3 linked regions of the Arabidopsis thaliana genome follow. The protein of the gene in region 3 interacts with the protein of the main gene of each other region in a pairwise test. Each region holds a gene or a part of one and is shown on either strand. Other genes may lie near its edges. The genes, in order: UBA1A, TIFY8 and RR14.

Region 1 (5,680 bases), 9.1 Mb from region 3:
GAAGACGAAGAAGGCAGTGCAGATGATGCAGAAGGAAAGGAGACCAAGAAAGGACCGGTAAGTGATCCTGATTTGAACGGTGAAGCTGGAGATAATGATGATGAACCTGAAGGGGATGATGGTAACGATGACGAGGATGATGATAACCATGAGAACGATGATGAAGATGAGGAGGAGGATGAAGACGAGAATGATGATGGTGGTGAAGAAGACGACGATGAGGATGCGGAGGTAGAGGAGGAGGAAGAGGAAGAAGATGAAGATGATGAGGAAGCGCTTCAGCCACCAAAGAAGAGGAAGAAGTGAACAAACCGCTTTGATCTCCTAACATTTTAGATTCAAAAATCAAAACTTGTTATCGGTTTTTACCTGAAGAGGAGAGAATCTTAAGGCATCATCAGCTTTAGCTTCAACTGTGTCTTTGTTGTTCCATAAACCAAGACTTTGTTTAGTGTAACATTTTCAGATCCAATGGCACCAGCTTTCTTTTCTTTAGCCCATCATTAATGATATATGCATATCTCTATGAGGTCATCAAATGCGATCAAATTTATATAACAACTTCAAGGGTCAACTTTAGCTGTCATAAATAGTTAAAAGAAAGTTAAATCCTATTGAGTCCTCATAGAGCAAACCTTTTTCCCCAGAGGTCACAATACAGATTGCACAGAGGTCTTTAACGAATAATCACAATGATATTACTTGAGCCACAGACTGTCTATCGTATGATATCGGACAAGAGTGACATCAAACAGAAAAAAAAAGAAAGGAAGAAAAAACAATACAAAAAAAAACTAAAACGTACTGACTTTGATAGAAATGTTAAAAAGAAATCCCCAGAAACTGCATGTTTATCATTCTCATGCTCAGCCCACACCATCTGCAAAAGTTGGAGTTCAAGAAAACAAAACAAAACATAACTCTATCAAAAGCTGAAGACAAAAAGAAAAACATATGGAAACAAGAGCAATGCTCTATCTTTCTGGTAAGATAACCCCGAAAAGTGAAAACAATAGAAATCAAAGGGACAAACATAAAAAAAATGTTAAAACTCAAACTTAAGTCTAAAACCATGAGTGCAACAGCATGAACAGATGCTATAGTTTACAGTCCGTTTAAAGACGTTAGCACCAAAACCAGATGAGTGGAGAGATGGTGGACGTTCAGTTTATAAAACCCAGTGCAACACTAAAACAAAAAAAGCCAAGAGACAAAAAGAATGTAACAATATTCGTCCCCACCATCACCAACCTATAGAGAAACTAACTTCGATAAAACAAATGGCACTTGAGAAAACTGTAAAACCAGGGACAGTAAAGAAAAGAAAACAAAACATAAACCAACAAAAGGAAAAATAATGGAGAAAACAAAAAAAACAAAAGTATGGTGGGTCACATTGCATCTACTTGAAATAGAGTCGAAGCAAGATTCATGAATAATGAATTACGGCAACCGATGACAATGCTAACCTACCTCTAGAACATAATTTAGGTATTTAATTCCTGTAGCAGTTCCTCCTAGGAATATACATATTTAGGCATTTAAGCCAACTATTTGACTAGAGAGGCATAATAATGTCAGATAAAATTCCGGTACTACCACAAAAGCCTTAATCCATTTATCTACACATGACGGAGCTACAATGAATTTATGCTTATCCAAAGACATTCAAACCACAATATTAGCACAAACATTGCTACAAAACACCAAAGGTTTCAGTGAACGTACCATGAATAGTTTGAGTAGCCATGAAAGGAGGAGCCACCAGCATCCGAATCTTTACCCGTCCCTCTTTTTCCACCAGCATCCGAATCAGGATAAGTACTAGGCAGACTCTGACCTCTAAAGTAAGAACCTAGAGCTGAAAGACCAGCAGCACCAACGCTTGGATCAACACCAATCCCACCCATTTGACTAGACTGTACCATATCAGAACCCAACCCGCCATGTGCTAGAGCACCCGCTAACATCGGATACATGTAACCTCCCCCAGCTGCTGCTGCTGCTGCTAAAGCTGGATTTCCCAACATCCCAGCTCCATAAAGCGGATGGTATTGGTTCCCTAACATAAACGGCGAAGCAGCCATTCCACCACCGTTAAACACATGTTGACCTTGTACCTGCTGTTGCTGAGGCTGTCCATGATTAGCCATCGAACCCATACTAATCTTCACCGGACCAGGTTGATCATGCCCCTTTCCTGAAGCCGCAGGACCCATAGAAGCAAGCTGGCAAGTGGCAGTTCTATTAAGAATCCTCTTCTTCGGTTCTTTAAGAGCTTCTTTAGCTCCTTTCCTAGTCTTGAACATAACAAATCCAAACCCTTTAGCCTTACCAGTAGCCTTATCTATAACAACGGTACACTCTTCAATCTCACCATAACCTTCAAAGACTCCAACAAGAGTCTCGCGAGTCGTCTCCCATGGAAGACCATAAACGAAGATTTTCCTGTGTGTAACATCACGATCTGCGGCTTCTACGACGGCGGAATAGATCGAAGATCCGATTCGAGAAGCGGAACAAACTAGATCGACAAGCTGGTCCTTGGAATAAGGTTGTAGAAGCTCACGGAGCTCTTCTGGGTCGAATTCGTTGTCTGATTCGGAATCGCTAGAATCAGAGCTGGAGCTTGAACTTGAATATGGCGTTGAGGATTCTGGTTGTTGTTGTTGTTTGTTAATCTTCTGTTTCTTATCGAAATTCGTGGATTTGGATTTCACGAGTTTGCGCTTCTTAGATTTGTCTAGGGTTTTCGCCATTGTAGTAGAGGATAAACGAGTCAAGAAGCTTTTAGGGATTTTGATTTTTGATTTTTGATTTCAGTTTCCTGTTTCCCCTCGGGTCAAGAGTTCGATTTACTTTATCCTCGAGATGTCGTTTTTCCGATTTTTTCAGTTTAATTTTTTTTTTATTCGAGTATTTTGCTTTGAATATATTTTCAAATATTTAGATTATTTTTGGATTGGTTTATTTTGAATATTTTTATTATTTTACATATTTTTAAATATTTGCTTTATATTTAAGATAAGGCCTTAGATCTTTGTAGAGGTTACATGGCAAGATGCTGGCTTTAAGTTATGATGGCTATACATCAACCGGAATACCATAAGCTCCCTAACTTTACGGGGTGTGAACTTTGTGGTACTTTTCTTTTAGAGCGCCGTCAGAAAAGATTCCTGGCTAGGCAGAGGTTTTAGCCATATTGGTGGTGTCGCTCTGCTACTTGTTTATTCATTCACCAGTTGAAACTTTTTTTTCTTTCTTTTTTATCTTTATGTGTTATGAGAAACTAAAAAAATAGTCACCGAGATCTTAGAGAGGGTTTTGTTTTTGTTCTTAAGATTTTCAGAGTTTCCCCATTGGAAAGAAAAACAAAGCCCTCATAAGATCATGATCACAAAACAACGAAATCAAATGACCAAAACCAAACCAAAGTTGATTTAGCTGAAGCATACTATAGATTAATACGAGTTGATTCATATGGATGGATGGATAGCTGCAGAGAAGACCAAAAACCGAGAAACAAGATTGATCCTCTTAAGAAATCGAAAAACTGAAAACAAGATTGATCCTCTTAAGAAAACAAGCATTCGCATCATCGGTCACTGTGAGGTCATTGTGAAAATCCAAAGAAAAAAAAAAAAAAAACAAGTATGCTTTGCTACCATAACCAGAGTTATATAGAATATGAATAACGAGCAGGTAAAAAAAAGGTAAATCCAGAACAAAGCTATGTAAGGTGAAAAACAAATTGGGTCCAAGTACCGATGACCAAAAACAATCTTGAACTTAGGCAAGAAAACTTGGCAACTGATATCAAAATGGACTCTTAAATACAAAAGAGAAAGGGGCGACACTACCATAAAAGAGGAATGTGATGAAAGAGATTGAGAAGCTTATAAAAACCTATGGGGAAGAAAACAATGCTTGAAGGAAAGAAAACTCAGGTTGTTTATTCCAGAGAAAATCAACTTGAAGCTTTTGAAAGAGTCCCAAAACTTTTTCCAGTACTCAAAAAGACAGATTTAAAACAAGAATGTAAAACCATTATGTCTGATCCTACAAACGGGTCTCAAGACAACTGCAGCTGGAAGATACAGACTTTTGGCAGTTATGACATATAGTGGACAAAACTATAAATGTCATAAGCTTCTTCTCCAGCTATAGCGAACAGATATTCAATGAAAATGCGGGAAAACATAAAACCAAAAACAAGGAAAAACAAAAGAGAAAAACATACGCCATGCCACAGAAGAAAACCAGACGTGAGTTTGATGGGTAAGGAGAAGACAGAAGACCATAATGGGGGACTCCAAAAGGGAAAACAAAGAGATAGCAAACTACTTTAAACCAATATTGATCCTAGTAACTAAATCTTCTAGACAAAATGACCACATTTCACTGGTTTATGAGAACAGAGCAGAACACCAATGACAGACTTCCAGAGAGCAACAGAAAATTCATCCTTTGAGCACACATCTCCCTCAAAATGGCTCATATAGGGGTAGATACCTCGTTAAAAGAGACTATAAATAATGAAACTAAAAAAGTAGGTTTGAAACATCAGGCATAGAAAATAAAGATCCGCAAAAAAAACTCCTGCAATTCCCAAAATATCAAGTTGGAGTCGAAGATACCGGACTAATCATTAGCCTAATCTATAACTTGAAATATCAGAGAACATGGTCATACCACTTGGGTTCTCTTATCTCAGATACCAAGCACGTTCACCATCAAAACCAGCACCAGCACCAGCACCCGCACCAACACCGTTAACATTACCATCACCAACATATTGTCCCACCATTCCCATATGATTCGGTGGCATCATAGGTCCTTGATTCATCATACCCGAGCCAAACATACGATAATTCTGTAAACCAGCAACCATCGGATTACCCATCATTGCACCATACATAGGATTAAAACCAGGAGGAGGCTGAGAATGTCCATAAAAGGGCATGTTCTGTCCAGCATACATTGACATATTCTGCTGCTGCTGATGTCCCTTATCAAGTCCATGACCCAAATCAATCCCAGGCAAAGCCATTTCACTCTGATTACCCGTATGACTCAAATCAATCTTCACAGACTCAACCGGTTGTTGTTGTTCTCGTGGCTTTCCAGAATTAAACGGCCTAGCTGGTAAACAACTAACAGTTCGATTATACATTCTCTTCTCCGGATTCTTCAACGCCGCTCTCGCTCCTTTACGCGTCTTAAACAACACAAAGCCAAAACCTTTAGCTCTTCCTGTATCTTTATCCATAACCACAGAACATTCCGTTATCTCCCCATAAACCTCAAAAGCCGCCTTGAGATTCTCATGCGTTGTATCCCATCCAAGACCACGCACGAATATGTTCCGTTGAGAACTATCTCTATCCGCTGATTCAAACACTGCTGAGATCAATTTAGAACCTTTCTCAGCAGTTTTGTAAATTAGGTTAATAAGCTCCTCTTTAGAGTAAGATTCAAGTAGATTCTTAATATCTTCCTTATCGAATTCGAAATCAGAATCAGACTCAATGGTAACAATCGGGACCGTAACAGGCTTTGAATCGACGATCTCTTCGGATTCATCTGATGATCTCTTATGTTTCTTCTTACTCTCCTTCGATTTCTTAGGAGATGGAGATGGAGATGGAGATTTCTCCTCTTCTTCTACTTCTTCGTATTT
Region 2 (5,680 bases), on a different chromosome or scaffold from region 3:
GTATACTTTGTTCGCCATCTTACTGTCACTTAAACAACAAAATTCACTATCATCGTTTAGCGGATTATTTTCAACTATATAACCCAGTAAAAGATAGTTTACTTGTCATGTGGTATATTTGACAGTTATCAAACTTTTGAGAGTTTGTGACACGTACGATACAGACACAAAATCAAATCTCCCTCTCCGACCATTTTTTTTTCTTAGTTACATAAATCTCTTTTCCTTCTCCAGCAACAGAAGAATTCTGCTCGATAATAGATTGGTAATCACAAAAAGAAAAGAAAAAGTGTTGGAGATCCTTCCGAGAGAGACGCGACATCTCCTTCCTCTTCGAAGATGAGTGGTACTGTGAAGGATATCGTTTCAAAGGAGGAGCTTGATAACTTGCGCCACAGCGGAGCACCACTCGTGCTTCACTTCTGGGCTTCTTGGTGTGACGCTTCGAAGCAGATGGATCAAGTTTTCTCTCATCTCGCTACTGATTTCCCTCGTGCTCACTTCTTTAGGGTTCGTCGTCTCTGTTCGAATTTTATCTCTTTCAATTGGTTTTTGACTTTGATTGGTTTTATTTATCTTCTTAGGTAGAAGCTGAGGAACATCCTGAGATATCTGAGGCTTATTCTGTTGCTCTTGTGCCGTATTTCGTCTTCTTCAAGGTAAACTTTAGGCATATTGATTCTTTGTTTGGTTGCAATTTTTTGGCTTATTGACAAAGCTTGAATCTTTGTCACTGCACTGAATCCTTTTCTTATTGAAGGATGGCAAAACTGTGGATACACTTGAAGGGGCAGATCCATCAAGTTTAGCTAATAAAGTTGGCAAAGTTGCTGGTTCTATTACTCCTGCAAGCTTAGGGTTGGCTGCAGGGCCAACGATTCTTGAAACTGTTAAGAAGAATGCGAAAGCTTCTGGACAAGACCGAGCTCAGCCTGTATCTACCGCTGATGCTCTCAAGAATCGTTTGGAAAAACTCACCCTGTTATGTTATTCATGAATGGTACTCCTGAAGAGCCTCGATTTTTAATATCTATTGAGTACTTTCTTTATAGTTGGAATTCTTGTGGATATATATCAGGTAGCTACTTGGAGCAAACATGTTGCTAAAGTTGACCTGCTACTGTTGTTTGAAGAACACGTGCTATGTCTTGTCGTTGAAGGAATTATGTTCATATGGGAAGAACATAAGCCTACTGGAAAGTTTACCCCTAGCTCTATTGTTAACCCAGATACTTGAGCCTCCATATCACAAACATCTAGTTAAGGTTTGTGTAGTAAGAACAAGAAAAACAACACGTGTTCCCAATTCCCATATAAATGACCATTATACTTCTATCAACCCAATTAATCACAGTCCGGAGACTAGTTGATTAAAAAATCAGCTAATACTAATTTGGTGGTTTCAATAAACATCTTAAATACTCCATAATTAAACTAGATTAAAGTGGGAAAAATCGTCATGAGTAGTTGTAAAATCGATTTCATTTAAGAGTATAGAAATTCGTCATGAGTGGTTGGTTCATGAGTTCTCTCTCTTACTCATATTAGAGTAAGAAATCAAACACTTATAATCATTCAAAATTCAACAACTCTCATCTCAAAACCATATATTTAGGTAAAGTTATATGCATACATTTTGCATTTTAATTTTAAAACAGATTATTTGGCGCGTAATGATAAAATTATGTGTATAAAAATTATTTAACTAATCGATCTAACAACCACATATGAGTAAAGTAGTTAACATTGTACTACTACACCAAATTATAGTGTGTTGGTTAGATTAGATACACAAACTCACTTTCTCAAATCAATAACATTATGAATCTATGATAACCTTAATTTAAAAAGAGTCTATAATGCCATGATTTTACAATCGTACTTTTTTCTTTTGGGCTGAACTTTTAATCATATATTATTTGAAAGATGTGATTATTATAATATTAAAGGGAATTAAAATCATGTAAGAGAAACCCAATAAAGTAGCTTGAAGAAGAAAAAGACAAGCTTTATTATACACTTACCCAGAAAAACAAAAAACAAAAAACTGATAATATCTCTCTCTCTCTCTCTCGTTGAGTGTGTCCATGAAATAATACTCTGCCAGAGACAGAGAGAAAGACTGTAACGGAGGATGTGGTGGCGAAGTGGCCACACTGACACACTGGTTTCATGATGGTGAACCACAACAATGGCCAGCGACCCACTGATATTGATTCTCGTCTCCGACAGACAGAACAAGATAAGCTCTTGTTCCATGACTTTTTAGGCTCCAAGAATCCTACTTTAGCATCCACTTCCATGGCTGACCATAGGCTACCACCGGATAATAAGGCGGCTAAAGCGGCGATGACTCCTTCCACGGCTTCTGCTTCCTCCGCCGGTGGACTCGGCGGTCTCTCCTCAACCTCCGATCTCGGTTCTGCTCTGTCTCTCTATCTCTCTCTCCTGATGTTTTTGTTGTTGTTGACGTAGTGTGCTTACGCTGATGAGGTTTTGAGCTGATTCCTCTGTACATTTAGGGTTTCTATCTATAGAAAGTTCAACTTTTGTTACATAGATTCGATTTAAAGTTGGATTCTTTCTTTTCCCCCTAGTCTGGATTAACGATCGAGCTTTGATTCACCATGATTTGAAAATGTAAGAGATCATGTGAGTTAGTTTCAAATTTTTTAGTCAATTCATTTATGATTAGATCTCTTAAGTTGAAAATGGAACATCTTTGGGTTCATAAGGTTGAACAAAATGTGAATGTACATTGTCTTGTTTCATTTCTTGCCTCATTGCTTTTTTAGTTCGACAATTTAAGAAACATGAACATGGATTGTGTGTGGGCATGTGGTTGCTTGACCTCTTGTAGTGTTAAGGACTCTCCCTCTCTCTCTCTCTCTCTCTCTCTCTCTGCCCAACCATAATGCCCTCTGGTGGATTAGTTGGGACATTGAGAGTGAATTTGACTGATGAGTTTGGTGGGTCATAGCCATTTGAGGTTGTGATCCTTTTTTATATGAATTGGCCCTTCTTTATTGCCTCTCGTTTTCTCTCTCTATCTCCTTGAGTTCCCTCCCACAACAATCTTTAAGTTACTTATCCATATTTTATCATTGTTTAGTCGAAAGACACAGCGGCGGTGGGAATCATCTTGATGGGATACAATTGTTTGGACCAAGAAGTGATGTTTCTGGCTCAATCATGAGCAATCGGTTTTCAGGAAATAAGAGAAGTAACTCTGATTCTCACTTCACGACTCAGGAGCACCCAGAGACTCTGCATTGGTCCAAGGTAACTAAAAAAAAAACAGAACCTACACAACTTCACCATGGTCACAGCTACGTAGAACTCAGTTTCTGTAATATGTCATTGTCATAACCTAGTTGCTTAGAAACGGACCTGGAAGCTTCTCCATGAATGTGAATCCTTTGGCAAACCAGCCTCCACGCGGAGGAGGACAGATCAGTCATTTGCTTCATCAGCTGTCTACTAGCAGGTTCAAAGATGAGAACGTAGGCCCATCAGTTATTGCTCAGACAGCTGCTGATGAAGGTTCACGAACAGGGATGAAAGGTCCCGGTATCTTGAGTTCTTTTACAATGCCAAACTCAAGCAAGCTCGAAAGTTTTGCCCCTTCAAAGTCAGTTAGCTTCTAGTGTTTTGTGTCTCTGGTCTTTCGATACTCTTCGAGTCATTTCAATACACTTTGTATTTGCAGTACCGGAAATCGGAAAGACTTGGCGTCGAGTACTAAGCAAATGACCATCTTCTATGGCGGTCAAGCTCATGTCTTTGATGACGTTCACCCAAACAAGGTGATTCTCCCTAACACTTATACACTTGATATTCAAGTTATTTGACTACATTTTGATATCTAAAAAGGTAGAGAATTGAGAAGTTCATCTGATGAATGTTATTTTTTTGCAGGCGGATGTGATAATGGCCTTGGCAGGATCAAGCGGAGGCTCATGGTCTACGGGTTTGTCTCATAAACCGAAGTCGAAGAACAACACAAGTGACGGTCCATACAAGCTAGGCCAAATGTATGAAGGAGGCAGCTCTAAGGAAACACCACAAATGCCCCCGGAATTTCGTGCAAGGCCGAGTCATCAACCTACCTCCAGTGCCTGTCACCGGATCTTTACACAACCAGGTGACTTCTTTTTAAAGAAAACCAGATTTCAGCAGAAATTTTGGTTAGCTTCTTACAAATACTGAGTGGAGTAGAGTAATCAGGTCTTATTTTGCATTGTGACATAATAAAATGAGGATACAACAGTAAAGAGTTATCAACTGTTCTGGGTTTTATCAACTTGAATCTGTTTGAGGAGCCATAAAACCATGTACATGTATGATTTGCAGGTAGAGAGCATCAAGGAAGCATCATCTCAAGGGGACGAGATATCAGAGATCCGGTTCACAGATCAGATCCTGAAAAAGAAGCCACATGATTAAAGTCTGAATATGAGAGACGATGAGTGTGGCTGTTCTTCTAAGTTGTTGTTTTTTTTGTTTTTTTTTTGTTTTTGGTCAACTTCTTCTAAGTTGTTATTTGTTGACTTGATAGCTTTGTACAATGCTCTGTACCTTTCTAGGTTTGTATTCAAACTCATCTCCTCAATGATTTAGAGAATAATATTTTCTCATAGCTCATATATAAACATATTGGTCAACCAAACCTACTATTTCTAGGCCTATCGATTTTCGTATATTTCCATGTAAGGCTGAGCATATGGATACATCACATCACAAGAGAATCATATCTAAATCAACTCTGGCTCTACTCTGGTTAGCTGTAACTCGAAAGGAGAGTCACTTCATATCACCTTATTCAAACCCTTCTTCGAGTCAGAGGTGTTCGTTCATGGCAGATATATGACTTCTCAGCCTCTCATTCTTAGTACATTCCTCCTGCCATTGAGAAATTTAGCACTACGTAAGTAGATGACTCTCGGGCTTTTCAGTATAAACACTTATTTCCTATCTTGTGCTAACCTGGTATGCTCTTAGTACAGTGTAGCATTTTCTTTGCTCTGCAGCTGCAGCTATATACTTTTCTTTTGAAGCATCACGGAGCCTCTGCTCTTCTTGAAGCCCAAGTTGTATTTTTCCAATCTTCTGCACTTTAAACATTTTGTTATGACAAATCATACAGCTATAGATAGGTAAGATGGGTTAGTTCATGCTTTGTGCCTCAAATACCTGATTCAATATAACTCAGATTACCTGTTGGATTCCTTTCATGACTCCTTCCATTGAATCAATAAGCTTCACACGGCCAGCAGGAGTACCAATCACGTCTTGAAACTACAATCAAGTCAACGGAATTATGGTGAAACTTTGACTCACCAAGAGATATACTAAAAGGGGAAAGCAGAGACGTAAATCAACTTAGTAATGAACATAAGCTATTCTCAACGATATAAGTACATGACAACTAAAGGTACAACGTGGAGAACAGTACAAAGCAGATGATGCTAGTTATAGAAAATCAACAAAATAATAATGCCTGTATTTTACCTGTGAACCTATGGAATTCAATAATGATGTCTCCTTAAGCATCAAATCTTTGATTTCTAAAAGAGCATTGTATGTTGCATAGAGCTTCCTAGTTTGTTGAAGTTTCTCCTGTTTTTAGTCAGATATCAAACAAATGTTCGTCAAGCTAGCAAGTTCATTTTCAACTAAG
Region 3 (5,680 bases):
CTTTTAGATTTCTGCAAAAGCTGAGCTTATACTTTCCAGGTGTGGGCAAGATTCTTATATGGTCCGACTTCCAATTTTAATCTTTTTTGTTGCAACAAATAAAGTACGTGAATAGTAACAAACAGAAAACAACAAATTACGTGAATATAAAAACTTATCTTATTGATTTGGTTAAGTTTAACACTCTTTACCTATCACAAAATGTTTATATTCCTACTATAAGCATGTAACTTGTTATATAAGTGAGACTTTATTGTTTCGTTACAGGTTTGAGCTGGGATTAGAGAAGCCTGATCCAAAAAGAGCGTTACAAAGCGCGTTCACGATTGCAATCGCTTATGTTCTTGGCGGTTTTATACCGTTACTTCCCTACATGCTCATACCGCATGCCATGGATGCGGTAGTGGCGTCTGTGGTTATAACTCTGTTTGCGCTCTTCATATTTGGCTATGCAAAAGGGCATTTCACTGGAAGCAAGCCCCTCAGAAGTGCGTTTGAAACCGCCTTTATAGGAGCGATTGCTTCAGCTGCTGCTTTTTGTTTGGCTAAAGTTGTGCAACATTAGCAGTAACAAAACTAGTGTTGCGTTTGATGTTTTGTGTACTTTGAGACTTGTTTGTTGCATGTCTTGTGGTTATTATCAGGCTAAAACTTTTGGCAACCATAATAAAGTGAGAGATAACAATTCAAAATATTGGTTACATAATTACTTTCCTAAGCTAACATTGCAGACACACAAGTTTTCTTCTGACATTAATCCATTCCTGAAGATTTAAAAGAAACAGTTGCAGAGCCTTCTCTTCTTAAGCGTATCCATATTGGTCACTATCTTTGTCTTGAAGATCTTTCCAAGATCCAAGATTCTTCATTGACATTTGATCCATACCCTTGTCTGATTCTGTTGTTGTTAACGTCACCTCTCTGTCTGAAATTTGCTGAGGAAGATAGACCATGAACCGCCACAGAAACAGGACGGTTAGAAGCGGATGATACATCAACCGAGAAGTGTTCATTTTGAGATCTACCAAGATTGTCATTAGGAATCCAAACTCCAAAACTAGCAGAGTGATGATTGTCTATTGGTTGACCAAACAATGCAGCTAATGTCTGTGGATGTAATTGTCCTGAGGAAACCAGAGCTTGAATGTTTTCATATCTTTTGGTAGACTCAGAGTCATTACTCTGCGAAGCTTCACCGCTTAATCTCTTCAAATACAATCGGAACTTCTGCAAATGGTATTGATTCAGTCATAACCCTTATAGAGACCCTAATAAGAAGAAAGATTCAATCAATCAATCAAAGAAACCTGTAAATGACTAGCCACGTTTTCTCTGCTTAAACCAGGAACATTCATCAACTCGAGAATCCGCTTTGGTACAGCTTCTGAAACAATAAGAGAGATTCTTATAAGCACAAATTACTTTGAATTTCTTCTACAAGCAATAAGATAGTGTTTAGGATCATACTGTCAATTCCAAGTTTGTTTACGGCATTAACGAATTGTTGATGCAATTCAATAGACCAAACAACGCGTGACTTCTTCGAGTTTCCAGGATCAAGAAGAAGATCATCTTCATTATCATCTCTATCAACACTTCTCTTCTTCTTCTTCTTCTTATTCCTACATTTCATCAAACTTTCCTCTGAGCATTCACTAACCGAAACAACAACAGTCTCGAGGCTACCACTGTTCTTGTTATCCTCTAAAGCTTGAGAACTTCGAAGCTCTTTCTTCATCACACATTTCCTTCTAACAACATGTTGCCAAATGTTCTTAAGCTCTTCAGGACGAATAGGTTTGATTAGATAATCACAAGCTCCATGGTTGATTCCAGTCATGACTGTAGTTGTTCTTCCATCAACAGACATCACTAGAAACAGAGCAAATGTAAGAAACATTGATGCAAAGATTCAATCTTTAGAGACAAAACATAACAACAGAGTCTTACTAATGACAGGAAGATCCATTTCAAGAAGACCAACTTGTTGAAGAAGATTGTAACCATTCATACCAGGCATATGAACATCACTTAGCACCAAATCAAAACTGTCTTTTCTTTCTCTTAGAATGGTTAACGCAACATCAGCTTGTGAGCAAATTGTAACTACAAAGAGAAGATAAAACAAAAATGTTAAAACTTTCTTGAGAAAATCTATTAAAAGGTGGGAACTTTGATAAAGAATTAGACCTTGGTACATGAGACGGAGAAGCATTTTCTCGAGAATGAACAAGCATGAAGTATCATCGTCTACAACGAGTATTCTTAACCCACTAGGAAACTGATCGTTGATCGGCATTAAGCTTTGGTGTGAGTATTGAAAACCCTAGAGAACTGAGAAAGAGATTTTGGTTGGAGAAGAAAGAAGAAGAAATGATTGAAGACGTACAGTGTTGAGTAAGTAGCCACTGGTTTGAAGAGAGAGGCAACGAAAGCGACTGGTAATAGCTGTAGTGGCACTCTGTTGTAATTAATCCAATTGGTACTACCCTTATTTGTAAACATACACGAGTCCTTTAAAATCTTATCTATAGACAAAGTCACGGTCCTCATGCACTACAATATCAGAATGCTTATCACGCCGGCGAATTTATCCGGTGGCATAGCCGGATTATTCGTTTTCGGACAGAAAGATCAAATGACTAAAATACCCTCGCTCACAAACTCGTATAACTACCGGAAAAAACTTTTCACCGTCCCTCCAGTGGCGGAGAGAAGAAGAGCTTTGAAGATGTTCTGGTGCGGTGCTCGGAGAAGGGTGAGAGACGAGGGAGGTGGTGAAGATGAAGATGAAATGTATGGATACAACGAGGAAATGGCGATGTTGGAGATATATAGCCAGTCGTGTAGAGAAGAAGCGCTTATAGTGACGGCCATTGTCGACGATGAAGAAGTGGAAGTTGTAATCTTTAAAGGAGTGTCGTCGTGCTTGAGCGGAGAAACGGCGGTGGATCCGGCGAGGAGTGTGTTGCCGGAGAGAGCAGTCATTACAAAGATTGATAGAGTGAGAGGTCCTTTTGATCCTTCACAGATTCATTATATTCAAAGGGACATCTCTTTTCAAGCCTTCAAGGAGACCAGACTCAACTAATGTTAGTGAATGTTGTGTCTGGATCAATGAAACTAATGACAATTTCAATTTTTTCACTAATAACTCTCACCTCTGTTTCTGAACTAATTTCTTAAATCTATAACATACCCCAAAATGAGAAAAATGGACAAAGGTAAGATAGAGAGAGATACAATAAATCACACACTAAGCTCAAGTTAGTAGTTAAAACACAAACCTAACTCTTTTCTATATATGAGGAAAACAATAAACATCAGCCAAGAAATTAAAAATCAGTTTTTAACTTTGAAATCTTACTATGTTAAGAAGCACACAAACCTCCCATATTGGATTTCTATATTTGTATGCTTTTTGTCATTCCTTCAATCTATTAACCACTGAATTGAGATTCATATTTTGCTCGTGGAATCGACTTCTTTGATCACTGCGTGCTCCTCGTCATCCCCATTCGTCCTGAGCCTCTGCTAAAACAACAATGCAAAGCAAACGTTCAAGTGTTAAAGAAAACTAACCTAACCAACTTATAATCGTTACATTGGGTCATTATAATAAGAAAACATCAGGTACCTTCCAGAAAGTAACTGTGCAGTTGTTGAAGCTCCTTTTGAGTTAGTAGAGTGACGTCTCGTTCTACTATCTGATCCTTTGTTATCCACACGCATAGCTGAAACCTCTTTCTCCATTGCTGCTACTTCTCTTCGCATCTTCTTTGCTTCCACTTCCATCGCCTTTGTTAGTGTTTCAACCTTCTTGGCCAACATCTAAAAGCAAACACAAGCCCAAGTATTTTGATCAGAGAATATAAATAAATATAAGCAAACGTTTCTTGGAAAGGTGTAAAACTAATGACTAACCTCAATAGCTTCGTCTTTATCTCTAAGGCTTTGATCTTTATCATTAGCAGCTTTCCTTAAAGTTATCACCTCCTTTTGAAGCAAATCATGTAATACTCCTGGGACACTATCATTATTTGTCCCTGCTGCTTTCTCTGAATCTCCTTGTTTTGTTGAATTAGGTGACCCGCCTCCGCTTGTTCCTTCAGAAGATTGGTTCAATGGAAACTTCGATCTGGGTTCGTTTGTTAGTACTTTACTCCTATCTAAAGATCTACTGCCTCCGTCAAATGATCTGGATGTTCCTTTCGCATGCTTCAATATTGTGCTTGTACTAGCATTCAAAGATCTAAACTGAGAACTTGGTGACCTCTTGGAGAAAAATCCATTTGATGTCAGTTTCGGAATAATATCAGCTCCGCCAAGGGATTGTCTTCGAGAAGGCCCGTTGCTCATACTTCTTCCCTCAGGTGTCGATCGGTTTCCACTGCTTGAAGGCCCTCTTAAACTCTCTTCTAAGACTCTAAGCCGCAGTTGAAATTTCTCCTGCAAAAGGCAAAAGCAGCAATTCTAATTAAAGCCTTGATACATAAGGACATAAAGAAGACTAAAGCTATATGGATCTGAACTCCGAATTCTTACCTTTAGCTGAGCTTCAGATTTTGCAGCTCGATCAGCTATGGCAAGTTTGTCACGTAGTTGTTGCATTTCTCCCTGTCCAAAAAGAAACAGGAAAATGGTTAAAGAATGCACTTACTCAAGTTACAATGGTTCCTGTGAATATGAATCACAACTCGAAGCAGTAACAGAAGCCCAAAAATAAAATATCAAAAGTAACCTGCAGAAATCTTCGTTCTTCGAGCCATTGCTTCACAGGCATCACTTTATCGCTACCATCTTTCCACTCATTTGCCACTACAGTTGCAACCCTGCTTGCACTTACTTTGGCACGAGCCAGTTCCCGATCAAGGATTCTCCTCTCTTCCTAATGAAAGGATTAATGGCCATAGCTATGATTAGCACAGGAATTGAATTTTAAGTACAAGGGTAGCAATAGGCTAATGAGGCACTAAACGTGTAATTTAATTATTACATTCATTTCTTGAAATTTCCTCTGGTAATCTCTCACTGCATTTGCAGCTGTACCACCAGCAAGAACAGCTTCTTCAAGCTCCCGTACGGTCTGGGTAAACTTTTCAACTTCTGCAACCTTTTGTCTGTGCAACTTGTCCAAAATTCTGTTCTCTTCCTAATTTGAACAATCGATAAACAAGGCATGCTCACGAAAACGAAGGAGAGAGATCCAGGAATTTATAGTACTGCTGGGTAAAGGAGGCGAAAGTGATACCTGACAAATTTCTATCTGTTTCATTAGCTCTTGGTTTTTATTCTGGAGGTCATCAACCATTGAAGCCTTTGCAAGAGCAGACTGAACAGTTCTTTCAGCATCAAGCAAAGCTGCTTCCTTCGACTTGGTTAGACGGTCCAATGCTCTGTTGTCATCTTGAAGTTTAACAATCTACAAATGAAGAATGCAATGCCCAGTTATTAAAAAGGTTCCAAGACTCAATAAGCAAGGAAATAAGAGATATAGTTGATTGAAAGGAAGTAAAATACTTCATGTCTCGCCAACTTGAGTTCAGCCTCTAAAGGAGCGAGAATAGCTTCAATAGGAGGCATATCGTCATCCTTTTGAGCAGCATGAACCCTTCGAAGAGTGGCTTCTGCAGCAAATTGAGCTGCCATTGAAGCCCTTTTTTCTTCGTTTATTTTCTTG

What was found.
Region 1: the proteins of RR14 (region 3) and UBA1A interact in binary tests that used the Arabidopsis thaliana proteins (3 or more experiments, as listed by UniProt).
Region 2: the proteins of RR14 (region 3) and TIFY8 interact in binary tests that used the Arabidopsis thaliana proteins (3 or more experiments, as listed by UniProt).

The regions. Positions count from the first base shown.
Region 1 is NC_003071.7:9,387,692-9,393,371, forward strand, and holds UBA1A (RNA-binding (RRM/RBD/RNP motifs) family protein), read right to left. Parts: upstream 2,816-5,680; 5' UTR 2,760-2,815; coding exon 1,716-2,759; 3' UTR 1,359-1,715; downstream 1-1,358. Other genes in the region: AT2G22080 (uncharacterized protein), read left to right, coding at 1-306; AT2G22088 (uncharacterized protein), read left to right, coding at 693-849, 1,111-1,358; AT2G22100 (RNA-binding (RRM/RBD/RNP motifs) family protein), read right to left, coding at 4,706-5,680. UniProt on the Arabidopsis thaliana protein: Acts as a component of a complex regulating the turnover of mRNAs in the nucleus. Binds with high affinity to RNA molecules that contain U-rich sequences in 3'-UTRs. May function in complex with UBP1 and contribute to the stabilization of mRNAs in the nucleus.
Region 2 is NC_003075.7:15,715,195-15,720,874, reverse strand, and holds TIFY8 (TIFY domain protein 8), read left to right. Parts: upstream 1-2,007; 5' UTR 2,008-2,172; coding exon 2,173-2,419; intron 2,420-3,112; coding exon 3,113-3,282; intron 3,283-3,374; coding exon 3,375-3,631; intron 3,632-3,709; coding exon 3,710-3,806; intron 3,807-3,918; coding exon 3,919-4,144; coding exon of another isoform or gene 4,145-4,209; intron 4,210-4,215; exon of another isoform or gene 4,216-4,353; coding exon 4,354-4,442; 3' UTR 4,443-4,643; downstream 4,644-5,680. Other genes in the region: AT4G32580 (Thioredoxin superfamily protein), read left to right, coding at 340-510, 585-659, 761-997; AT4G32560 (paramyosin-like protein), read right to left, coding at 4,840-4,902, 4,987-5,109, 5,218-5,298, 5,512-5,619. UniProt on the Arabidopsis thaliana protein: Repressor of jasmonate responses.
Region 3 is NC_003071.7:329,660-335,339, reverse strand, and holds RR14 (response regulator 14), read right to left. Parts: upstream 2,439-5,680; 5' UTR 2,300-2,438; coding exon 1,951-2,299; intron 1,873-1,950; coding exon 1,468-1,872; intron 1,385-1,467; coding exon 1,308-1,384; intron 1,228-1,307; coding exon 826-1,227; 3' UTR 644-825; downstream 1-643. Other genes in the region: VIT1 (vacuolar iron transporter 1), read left to right, coding at 268-565; AT2G01755 (uncharacterized protein), read left to right, coding at 2,552-3,091; MAP70-3 (microtubule-associated proteins 70-3), read right to left, coding at 3,492-3,534, 3,638-3,831, 3,925-4,449, 4,546-4,617, 4,742-4,888, 4,997-5,152, 5,252-5,422, 5,521-5,680. UniProt on the Arabidopsis thaliana protein: Transcriptional activator that binds specifically to the DNA sequence 5'-[AG]GATT-3'. Functions as a response regulator involved in His-to-Asp phosphorelay signal transduction system.